Oryctolagus cuniculus: one gene and its partners. The protein of the gene in region 1 interacts with the protein of each later gene in a pairwise test. Links are inferred from orthologs where the notes say so. Each region holds a gene or a part of one and is shown on either strand. Other genes may lie near its edges. The genes, in order: MYOD1, ID1 and ID2.

What was found.
Region 2: the proteins of MYOD1 (region 1) and ID1 interact in a two-hybrid assay, tested with the Homo sapiens proteins (5 studies listed by BioGRID). The link is inferred for Oryctolagus cuniculus from reciprocal best matches to the Homo sapiens genes MYOD1 and ID1.
Region 3: the proteins of MYOD1 (region 1) and ID2 interact in a two-hybrid assay, tested with the Homo sapiens proteins (2 studies listed by BioGRID). The link is inferred for Oryctolagus cuniculus from reciprocal best matches to the Homo sapiens genes MYOD1 and ID2.

What each region holds. Positions count from the first base shown.
Region 1 is NC_091432.1:48,597,234-48,601,459, forward strand, and holds MYOD1 (myoblast determination protein 1), read right to left. Parts: upstream 2,801-4,226; 5' UTR 2,515-2,800; coding exon 1,888-2,514; intron 1,415-1,887; coding exon 1,336-1,414; intron 1,075-1,335; coding exon 824-1,074; 3' UTR 227-823; downstream 1-226. UniProt on the Homo sapiens protein: Acts as a transcriptional activator that promotes transcription of muscle-specific target genes and plays a role in muscle differentiation. Together with MYF5 and MYOG, co-occupies muscle-specific gene promoter core region during myogenesis.
Region 2 is NC_091442.1:26,079,553-26,082,839, forward strand, and holds ID1 (DNA-binding protein inhibitor ID-1), read right to left. Parts: upstream 1,791-3,287; 5' UTR 1,679-1,790; coding exon 1,256-1,678; intron 1,057-1,255; coding exon 1,015-1,056; 3' UTR 609-1,014; downstream 1-608. UniProt on the Homo sapiens protein: Transcriptional regulator (lacking a basic DNA binding domain) which negatively regulates the basic helix-loop-helix (bHLH) transcription factors by forming heterodimers and inhibiting their DNA binding and transcriptional activity.
Region 3 is NC_091433.1:193,253,029-193,256,248, reverse strand, and holds ID2 (DNA-binding protein inhibitor ID-2), read left to right. Parts: upstream 1-1,237; 5' UTR 1,238-1,312; coding exon 1,313-1,636; intron 1,637-1,729; coding exon 1,730-1,774; 3' UTR 1,775-1,781; intron 1,782-1,956; 3' UTR 1,957-2,533; downstream 2,534-3,220. UniProt on the Homo sapiens protein: Transcriptional regulator (lacking a basic DNA binding domain) which negatively regulates the basic helix-loop-helix (bHLH) transcription factors by forming heterodimers and inhibiting their DNA binding and transcriptional activity.

The DNA of each region.
Region 1 (4,226 bases):
TGATGTGCACGCTTCCATGAGAGCCACCGCCTTGCGTGTGATGCAGATCAAACTCAGAGAAACCCCAGTGTGTGTTCTGGAGGCATCCCCACTCCCTCGACCCTGAGCGGTCTTCCTCCTTGCAATCTGCCTGTCGCCTGTAGGGGTCGCTGCGAGACAGCTGGCCCAGCTCGCGGGTTTTCCTCCGGATCCCGCCCCCGAGCCCGGGGAAAGCCGGAGCCACCGCGGCATAAATTAGCGTCTTTATTTCGAACACCTGAGCGAGCGCCCGCGGCTCGCCCGCCTGCCGTATAAACATAGAAAGTCGCCGTTGCACCGCACACCATGCGTCAGAGATAAATACAGCCCTCGGGGCTCCTGCTCTGGCAAAGCAACTCTTATTTACAGGAATAGATTACAAAAAAGTATTATAAAAAGTGGTCCTGAACCGGAGGGCGGGGTTGGGGTGGGTTACCTGCGGGACTGGCGCGCATCCCGCAGGTGCGATGGGAGGAGCTTGAAAGGATGTAGCTACGGAGGTGGGGCGGGGCCGGGCTTGGGTCCGCGGCGATCCAGTTCCCCCTACTGGGGAGGCGTCGAGGAAGCGGAAGGATCAGCCCCGGCTTGCCGGCGATCGCCCAGCGGCCAGGGCAGGCGCGGCGTGGAAGACACCCACCGTGAGCTCGCCCTGGGGCCGGGGACCGGGTTCCCCCCGTCTCTGCCACCGCGGAGGAGGGGGCGGAGGGTCGCTTTAAGCTCAATCTTGGGGGCACGAAGGAACCCCAGGGGCTCCGTCCCTCGGGCGCGTAGGCAGCGGCGCCCTTGCACGAGGCAGCCCTCCCCTTCAGAGCACCTGGTAGATGGGGTTGGGGTTTGCGGTCGCAGGGCACCGCGGGGCGGTGTCCGGGGCCGGCGTGGGTGCTCCGCGCTCGCCCTCGCTCTCGGCGGCCGCCTCCTGCTGGCGAGGGGGCGACTCCGGTGGCGCGTCCGCCAGCAGGAGCGCGGGCGCAGCGGGGCTCTCCGTGGAGATGCGCTCCACGATGCTGGACAGGCAGTCAAGGCTGGACACGGCGGCACTCTTCCCGGGCCTGGGTTCTGCGCGGGGAGGGCAGGGGAGTGAGCAGGGGTGGAGCCGCGGCTACCTCCTCCACCCCTGAGCCCCCTTGTGCTTCGGAGGACTTGCGGGAGTCTGAAACCATCCAGCGAGGGTGCGGGACGACGGCAGGGCACGCGACCCGCCAGGGCTTCATCCCCCGCACCATTGCCAGGCTATGTGGGGCGGGGTTGGGGGGGTCCTAGGTGGAGGGAAGCCAGGGCGGCTGGGAGAGGGACATGGAGGAGGCGCGGGATACGCACCGCTGGGCGCCTGGCTGTAGTAGGCGCCGTCGTAGCAGTTCCGCCGCCGCGCGCCGCTCGGGGGGCCGCTGTAGTCCATCTGCAAAGGGTTGGGGGGACCGCGTCAGGCCCGCGGGACCGGAGCGCCACTCCCAGGAGCAACCCCCTCCCCAGCTCCCCGAGACTCAGCCGAGGGCTTCTGGTCCCGGATCTGTCCTGGGTGGACAGGAGCCGCGCACCGCAGAGTCCAGAGCCAAACGAGGCAGGACTCAGATCTGCATTTTGGAAACAGGGATCCATGGAGGAAAGGAGCAGATCCCTCAACAAGTTTTGTAACAGCGTCCCAGCCGTGCCGACTGTACCCGTCCTGCGTGCTTCCAAAGCCCTAGGCTACCTCAGCGACAGCCGCCGGAGCCACGCGAGTCCACTTCTGGGTCGGGCCCCTGTCCGCCCATGCCTGTCGCGAGGGCCAGCTCCCCGCCCTCGGGAAAGGCTCCAGACCCACCCACTCCTTCCCCCACCCCCACGCCCCAGGGCTGCCTCCCCTCCTTCCGCCTGGCGTCCAGGCCTTACCATGCCGTCGGAGCAGTTGGAACGCGGGCTAGACGCGTCCGAGTCGCCGCTGTAGTGCTCGCCGCCGCGGCCTGGGGGCAGTGGGCCGGGCGCGTAGAAGGCGGTGGCGCCAGGGCCCGCGGCGTCCTGGGCGCGCAGCAGAGCCTGCAGGCCCTCGATGTAGCGGATGGCGTTGCGCAGGATCTCCACCTTGGGCAGCCGCTGGTTGGGGTTGCTGGACGTGCAGCGCTTGAGCGTCTCGAAGGCCTCGTTCACTTTGCTCAGGCGGCGCCGCTCGCGCATGGTGGCGGCCTTGCGCCGGTCAGCGTTGGTGGTCTTGCGCTTGCACGCCTTGCAGGCCCACAGCAGGCAGCGGCCGGCCTGGTGGTGCCCGCTGGGCGCGCGCACATGCTCGTCCTCGCGCGCGCCCGGGGCCTGGTGCACGGCGGCGGGGAAATGCGTGTGCTCCTCGGGCTTCAGGAGCGCGCCCACGTGCACCAGGCGCGGATCCAGGTCCTCGAAGAAGCGCAGATCCGAGGAGTCGAAACACGGGTCGTCATAGAAGTCGTCCGCTGCGGCAAAGGAGCAGAGGGAGCCGTCGGGGCCCGTCAAGTCCACGTCTCGGAGCGGCGGCGACAGCAGCTCCATGTCCCAGCGCAGGGCGGCGCGGGCCCGGCCTCACCAACCCGGGCGGCAGGGGTTGCCCGGAACTTTCTGTCGCTGGGGAACCCCAGCCGTGCGATGGCAGAGTGCCGGGGGTCTGAGGGCACACCCGACTGTCCGCCACCCCGCCGCGTCCTGGCCAGCTGGACCTGCGGCGAGCAGAGCGGCGGCAGTGCCCTGGGGCTTCCCCGGCCCTAGCTTAGTGCCAGGCGCCCCGGGCTATTTATCCGTAGTAGCCTAAGCGCCCCGGGAGCCCAAGCCGGTTGAGGGGGCGGGGGCGGGGGAGCACGAGGCCAATAGGAACAGAGGAGGGCGGAGCTCTGGGTCCTCGGGGTGGCCGCCAGGGCGAGAGAGTGGCCCCCCTCCCGCCCGTGGACACCAGCGCGCGCGCGCGCACTCCGGTCCCTCCCGGAGCAGGGAGCGCGGCAGACTGGCAGCCTGACCCGCTGCGCTTGGCTCCTAGGCACACCCTTTCCAACACGCGACTCCTGTGTTCGCGGGAAACGCTGGCCCTGGGCGCTCACTTCCCTCCGGGCGGAGTTTGGCTCTTACTCGGTCCCGTATTTGTGCGGAAACCAGGAGCAGAGCCGGGGCAGAAATGAGATCAGGAGAGATTTGAGAGAGATGCAAAGTAATGGGGCAGAGACACAATTAGGGCTGAGGTGGTGCAAAGGCGAGACCCCACCACCACCACCAAAGAGGCCCAGAGACGGAGGGGCCAGGCAGAGACGCACCGGACGCGGGGGCAGAGCCACTCGGCCAGTCCCTGTCCCTGTCCTGAGAGTCACTCAGAGGGCTGCGCGGGCCCTGCTCGTCTTTCCTGAACGCTGAGAAACCCAGCTGCGTCTATTCGGGCGTGGATCTCGCTGCTGGAGCTTAATCTAGCCCCTCTCTCCGAACTCGGGTCGTGCGGGGTCTGCAGGCAGTGAGGTGGACTCACGCCCAGCCCACCCTCGCCCTTGACGCCGGGTGTCCCTGGGGCTAGGCTGAGAGCCTCCTGGGCTGGGAAGTGAACTCCCTTTGCGCAGGGCTTGCGTCTGCTCCAGACCCCCCGCAGACCCGGGAAATGCCTTTCGCAGAGATCCTCGAGGCGGGGACCTGGCCTGAGAACTCTTTGAGAATGGCATTTGCCCACCAGGGGGGACCCAAATCCCCAGTTTCCCAGCTGTGTGATTCTGTGGAAGCCACACCTCCTTCCCCAGCCTCAGTTGCCGTTTGCTTCAATATGGGGATAGGAGGACTTTCTTGGGGCAGTTGCTTAGTGCTGAGAAGCTGGAGAGATCAAGGATGCAGAAGTCCTCGGTCCGAGGTGCAGGGCCATGGTAGTCAGAGGGCCTGCTCTGTCCTGAGCACCAGCTGCAGCAGTGTGCCCAGTGGGCTCCCTAGCCCTCCCCTGGGGCACAAAGCCCCGGAAGGTGCCCAAGCAATCCCCAGGCTCGGCTCCTGCAGAAGCCTCAGCCGTGTTGCTCCCTTGCAGGCATCCTGGAGAGGCTGGAAGCAGAAGGAGCAGGCAGCCGCCCCAAATCTGGCTCCCCTACAAGCCTCAGCACACCCCTCCGCCCCCCATGGGGCCTCACAACATCTTCCTGAATCTGCAGTCCTCACCCTCCTCTCCCTGCTCGGGCTGCAAATTGCTCTCCACCATTCACCCCTTCTGGAATCCGGTCATTGAAGTTTGAAGTGCCTTTCCCACCACC
Region 2 (3,287 bases), on another chromosome or scaffold:
CCCAGGGCAGAGGCGGTTCAGTGAGCTGCTGGCAGAGCCCGGCCAGGGTGAGGCGGCTGGGTGCAGACCCAAAGCAGGTGGCCCAGCAGCTGTGCCCAGCCGGGCCCTGCCAACTTGCTCACCCACTTGGACAAGCTGGGAGCCGCAGGGCAGCCTGCTGCGAGAGCAACCTCTTTCTGGGGAACTGGGGACAGAGAGGGCTCTGGGTCCCACCTGGTGGGGGGAGGCGGGAGGCCCGCAACCTGGTTCTCCCACTTCAACGGCCTCACTGCTCCCCCATCCCGGAGGGGGCCCCCAGCAGGTTCATCTGCATTTTAACAGCCTCCCCAGGTGATCCAGATGGCCCGGACCACTCTGAGAGTGAGCCCAGCGTGTAGAGGATTTAATTTTATGACACTAGGGAGCAGGGAAATGGCCAAGGATGGGGGGAAAGAAAAGACTTTAAAGACACCGGAAACACTCATTCAGGTCGCTAAGAGCCACAGTCCAGATGTGGCCCTGCAGGCCCCCTCCTCCCAGCACCAGCTGCAGCAAGGGTCAGAGTTCAACCCCCGGCTCCAGCCCCTCCCCTCCCCTCCCCGCCATGAGAGAAGTCACTGCAACTTCACCACCATCTAAAGTATTTGTTTAATAACAAAAAAGAAAACACCCCCCACAGAACTATTGTAAAACAATATTCTCAGCCGGTGATCATTGTAATATACAATACAAAGCAATTTCCTCAGAAATCTGAGAAGCACCAAACGTGACCATTTTTTAAAATGTCCGCTTTTCAAAAAATAGAAACACACGGGGGAATGCCACCCCCCAAAGTCTCTGGTGGCTGGTAGGCGTGGAGAGAGGGTCGGCCCCTCCACCGCGGGCCCCCGGCCCCGGGCCGGACTCGGCAGGGGCCCGAGGGCCGTAGATCTGTCTGGTTTCTCCCGGGTCTTGCGACACTGGGGGTTACCCGGGAGCGCTGACTCGTGCTGCCCCCCGGAGCGCCGGGGTCCGCCAGCGCCTGGGGGTGGCGTTTCAGCGACACAAGATGCGATCATCCGCGGGAACACACGCCGCCTGTGAAAACGAGCCAGAGGTGAGACGGAGGGCTGCACAGGGGGGCAGGTGCAGCAGGCGCAGCCCACCCGCCGCCTCCCCAGGAGACACTTTCCCGGTGTCCTTGGGCATCCCTGCCCCGCCAGGTGCCCCAAAGCATGGAGCGGACGCGGTGCAGCCCCCGACCCCGACCCAGCCCCGACGGTAGCCCAGGGCTCACCTCGGCCGTCAGGGCGCTGATCTCGCCGTTGAGGGTGCTTAGCGGAGCCCGCACGGGCAGCCCCCGGCCCCCTGGGGTTCCGACCTCAGCCTCGGAGTTCAGCTCCAACTGCAGGTCCCTGATGTAGTCGATCACGTGCTGCAGGATCTCCACCTTGCTCACCTTGCGGTTCTGGGGCAGGGTGGGCACGAGCTCCTTGAGGCGCGAGTAGCAGCCGTTCATGTCGTAGAGCAACACGTTCACCTGCTGCTCGTCCAGCAGGGCGGGCAGGCGCGTCCCGCCGCCGCCCGCGCAGCGCGAGATGGCCACGCTCTGCTCGGAGAGGCAGCGCACCACCTCGCCCGCGCCGCCCGCCGCCTTGCCGGCCTTCAGCGCGCAGCTGGGGCCCGCGGCGGCCGCGGCGCTGCCACTGGCGACCTTCATGGTTCTGGCGACCGGCTGGGAGAGAGTGCCGAAGGCGACGAGGAGGCGAGTGCCGGGCTTGCAAGCGAGCTCAAAGCGCGCAGGAGACGGTTGTAGAATGCGAGAACGCCGCGCCACCCTCGCGCTTTTATAGAGACGCCACGTGCCCCCCCCGAGGGGCGGGGTCAGAACGTTCAAAAGCAGCCAATGGGGGCCTGGGGGCGTGACCTCGGCCTCCTGGGTCCCTCCTCCTGCTCCAGGGGCGCACCCGCCAGTGGGTGGAACGGCAGCCCAGGTCTCGGGAACGGGCAGGGCGCGAGGGCACCGGCCAGGGCGGCGTGTGGCGGTGGGCACTGCTTTGGGCTCCTCAGGAAGGAGGCGAGAGCGGTACTGCCGATGACTGAAAGGCCTCAGGAGCCATATTCCTATGTTCACGCTCTCACCTCTCGGTTCCATTCTACAGATGAGGTAAACTGAGGCCCGGACGGAGACGTGGTGGCCTCTGGGTCTCCCAGAGAGCCCAGGGCTGGCCCCCGCGTTTCCGGCCTCTCTCGGACCTCCAGGAACCGGGGCCGAAACTGAAGGCGAGCTGACCTTTACACCCTGCTCCCGGGGCTGGTCGCCGGGGAACGCAGTTGTGGTTGCTCCTGGGGCCCGGAGGGCCCACCCAGATCCCTGCAGGGTTAGGGGCTGGGTCTCTGGGCCCCGAACTACGCAGAAGGCGCACAGAGGACTCTACCCCGCGTGTGCAGCCCTGCCTGCAGGCATCTGCAGCAGCTAGTGACTTAGTTTTTCTCCCTTTTTTGGCTGGGTTCTTATTCCCCTCGAAGACCTCGAGCGGGGTCTCCCTCCCACGGCGCGGCAGCTGCGGCGCTCCAGCCGCCCCCCTCTCTCCCGGGCTGGGCTGTGTCAGCGTCTGAACAAGCGGCTCAGACCGTTAGACGCCAGGCTCGTGACGTCACCCATTCATAAAACCGGGACGGGCTGTCAGGCTGGCGCCGCGCGGGCGGTAGCCATGGAGACGGCAAACCGGGCGGGAGCGTCCGCGCGCTCCCCCCGCCGTCACCTGCAGACCCCGGGCGGGAGGCCTGGGAATGCGGCGCTCGCGGGCGCGGGTGCCGGGCAGGGGTCGCCGTACCTCGCGGCCCCACACCTGCGAGGCCCCCTGCCCAGCCCCGCAGCTTGGGAGGGTCCCCCCCCCGCCCGCCCCAATCTCTTTAGGGGAAAGAGGCCCGAGTTCCAATTGCAGTTCTGCGAGTCGTGCCTGCTCCGAGAGCCCCGGGTGCTTCACGTTCTGGTATTTCGAGAGCGGGCAGCACCCCCATTCTCGCCTCCCGACAGGCACGGTGGGAAGCCTTTGCCTTCGGGTTTTCGGCGATTCTCTCCGCGCGTCCGGCGAGCGGAGCCGTGCAGAACCGAGGCTTAGGAAGTCTGCAGGAGTCGCAGCTGATGCACAAGGCTCGTTATGGCAATGCAGCTCCTTCCTTCTGAGAGCCCCGGGCGGGCGTGCCACCAGCGGGGAAGCTGAGGCCTGAGCAGGGACAAAGTGCTGCCTGCATAGGAGACTGGCATGATGGCTCCTCCGCTGCCTATGGCCAGGCTCTCTTGTTCCGGGAAGTTAGGGAGCGGG
Region 3 (3,220 bases), on another chromosome or scaffold:
CGGTCTTTAGCTCATGCAACGCCGCACTGCCCCTCAAACGAGCAGAGCCGGGTGCCTGGCCGGAGAACCGGGTCCCGCAGGGTCTCCAGGCGGCCCGGACCGCGGTCCCCGCAAGCAGCCGCCTTACCGCGCAGGGGCACGAGCGCTCGGGACTGGCGGGGCCCTCCACGCACGGAGTCCGTGCGCCGGAGCCAGCCCCAAAGGTGCGTGTTCACGCGGCTGTGGTGGTACACAGAGCACTGCATCGTGGGCCCGAAGTGCCCGGACACAGTCAGTCCCTGCGCGGCACAGACGCGCGGCGCCTCCCAGGGCTGGAGCCAGGGGGCGGCCAGAGCCCGCAGGGCCCCGCGTGCGGGTGCGGGGTCCCGGCGTGGAGGCCGCCCCGCTGCCCCTTCCGGGCACGCACCGCGGGCGCCGAGCAGGCCTGGGGGCCGTGGAGGTCAGGGGCCGCCTGGCCCTCGCCGTGGCCGCCCGCGTGGGCTTTGCATCCAGGCTGGGCTCGGCCCCCTTGCTCCCTCCGGATGCGGGACCGGTGCGGAGCCCTGTGCGTGGCTGGCTGAGAACTTTAATCAGACTACGAGCGTGGAGTTCTTTTAACTAGTCAAATAAATGAAGTTGCGTCCAGTACCCGTGCCAAGACCGCCAACCTCGCCCACGGCGGGCACCGGCTGTCCGAGAGCCGTCCGCTGCGGGACGCGCCATGTGCAGACCCCTGCGGCTCCCGCAGCCGGCCCGCTCCCGCCGGGGCACCCCGCAGCGCGGGCGGGCCCAGTCCCCGGCGAGCGCCCCCAGCCGGAGTGCGTGAGGCGGGCCTCGGCCTCTGGTCCCGCAGCTCTGCCCTGTCCGGGAACACGCAGCCCGTCTTGCACGCGTCTCCACTCTCCCCCGAAACGCCCGCTGTGGGGTTCCACTCGCCGGCGTCGCTGTGGCTCCGGACGGCGGCGGGGCTCGACCCGCCCGAGCTGGGCACCAGCAGTGCGGGTGCGCGCGGGGGCTGCCCCGCGCCCCGCGCCCGGCCCGCGCGCACTGTACTCTATTTACCCCCGCAGCTGCGCCCGGCCCGCCCACCCCGCGGGGATTGGCTGCCAACGCGGAAGGACCGAGCGCTCGCCCCGCGCCCGCGCCCGCCAATGGCGGTGCCCGCTCGGCCTGATGGACGCGCCGCCCTCCGCCAATGGGGACGGGAGGAGGCCCGCGCGTGCGGCGCCGGCGAGCGCGTATAAAAGCCGGCGCGCGGGGCCCGGGCTCCACTCTGCCGAGCGCTGCGCGCGGAGCAGGCGGCGGCCCGGCCTCTCCCTCCCCCTCGGTCAGCATGAAAGCCTTCAGCCCGGTGCGGTCCGTCCGGAAGAGCGGCGTGTCGGAGCACGGCCTGGGCGTCTCCCGCAGCAAGACCCCGGCCGACGACCCCATGAGCCTGCTCTACAACATGAACGACTGCTACTCCAAGCTCAAGGAGCTGGTGCCCAGCATCCCGCAGGACAGGAAGGTCAGCAAAATGGAAATCTTGCAGCACGTCATCGACTACATCCTGGACCTGCAGCTCGCGCTGGACTCGCAGCCCGCCGTGGTCGGCCTGCACCACCCGCGGCCGCCGCTGACCACGCTCAACACGGACATCAGCATCCTGTCCCTGCAGGTGAGCCGGCCGGCGCCGCGGGCGCGGGCGGGGGGCGTGCGTGCGTGCGGTCTCCCCGGGCTGACGCGGGGCCTGCTTCGTCTTCCTCCCCAGGCGTCCGAGTTCCTGCCGAGCGACAGCAAGGCGCTCTGTGGCTGAGCGGACGGTGAGTGTGCGGTGCGGGAGCGCCCCGCGGGGCGTGCGTGTCCGCGCCGGCCCGCGGGCGCACTTGCGGGGAAGGTGGCCGGGGGCTGCCCGTGCGGGGCCGCGAGGAGCCCCGCGTGTTTCCGCTCGCGCACCTGCCCGCCGCGCCTCAGCTGTGCCTCTCTCTCCTTCTGCAGGTGCCCCTGGCTTGGTATTTTTTTTATTTTTTCTCTTTGCACAACAACAAAACACCAACAAACGCACAGGACCTTGGAAGGCGAAGCGGACACGTCGAATGGACCTTTTGCAAAAGGGGAAAAAAAATTTTTTTAAAAATTTTTAAAATGGACGGAGACGGAGGAACGCCGTCGTCCGCGCGTGTCCTCGGCCTGCGCTGCGACTCTGGTTCCTGGGAGACGCGGGCGCCTCGCGTGCGGGTGGATGGCGGTTCCCTGGGTCCCGCGCGCGCTGTGGGCGCGAGCACGTGGAAGTCGCAGGCGGTCGCCGGGTCGCAGCAGACTTTGCCTTTCTGCAGAGGTGGAGCGTGAATAAAACCCCCAGGCGGTCGCCGAAGCCAGAAGTGCCCCTGGGCGCCGTGTACATATTTATATATAAATTATACGTCTATACATATATATATATATGGGGCGAGCCTCCCTGTACAGCGGCAGACGCACACCGCGTGACGACGGACTCGTTCAGGCTGAACTTTTTATAAAAGTTTGCTTGTCAACTTCACCGTTTTATACGAAATAAACCGAGCGCGCTGGCCGAGCCGTGCCGCCTGCGTTATTTCGGGCCCTGAGCGCTGCCCTGAGCCAACCGGACACGCGCGAGTGTGAGTCCGCGGGGGCTGTGCGGGGAGCGCACCGCGCGTCTGACGTCGGCACCCGGGGTCCCGGGCGGGGAGCCGGAGCCCGGCGGCGTCGGGCAAGGGGTCGGGCCGGCTGGGAACCTGGGATGAGCGCCCTGGGGCCGGGGGCGCTTGCCGGCACGGGCCCCGGCCCCTGCGGCTCACCTGGGAGCGGGAGGCGAGGCCCTGGGGTCCGGATTCCCGCGGCCTGGTTTCGAGCGGGGAAGGGAGTAAACGGCCGGTCCACCTGCGCGCAGGCCGCGCCGCGCGGGGGAAAGCCCTGCGGAGCGCGCCCAGGGACGGACCGGGCCCCTGGGACGGCTGGCGCCGGGGTGGAGGCGGGCACCCAGGGCAGCGGGGCGGGGTAGGGGCGGCTGCGGGCTCCGGGCCGAGCCCCGCGGGCCGCCGCTGCTGATAATGGTGCCGCGAGGGGAGGTCAGGGTTGCGGGGGCAGCCGTGGTGGCGCCGGGCGGGCGGCCGCGCTCTGCGGCTCGGCGCGGGCCGGGACGCGGCCGGACCGTGGAGGCCGGGCTCCCCCTGCTGGCGGGCGCAGGGACTGCGGGGAAGCGAGGCACTGGCGGCCCCCGCGCGGGACCGGGGCGGCCGGG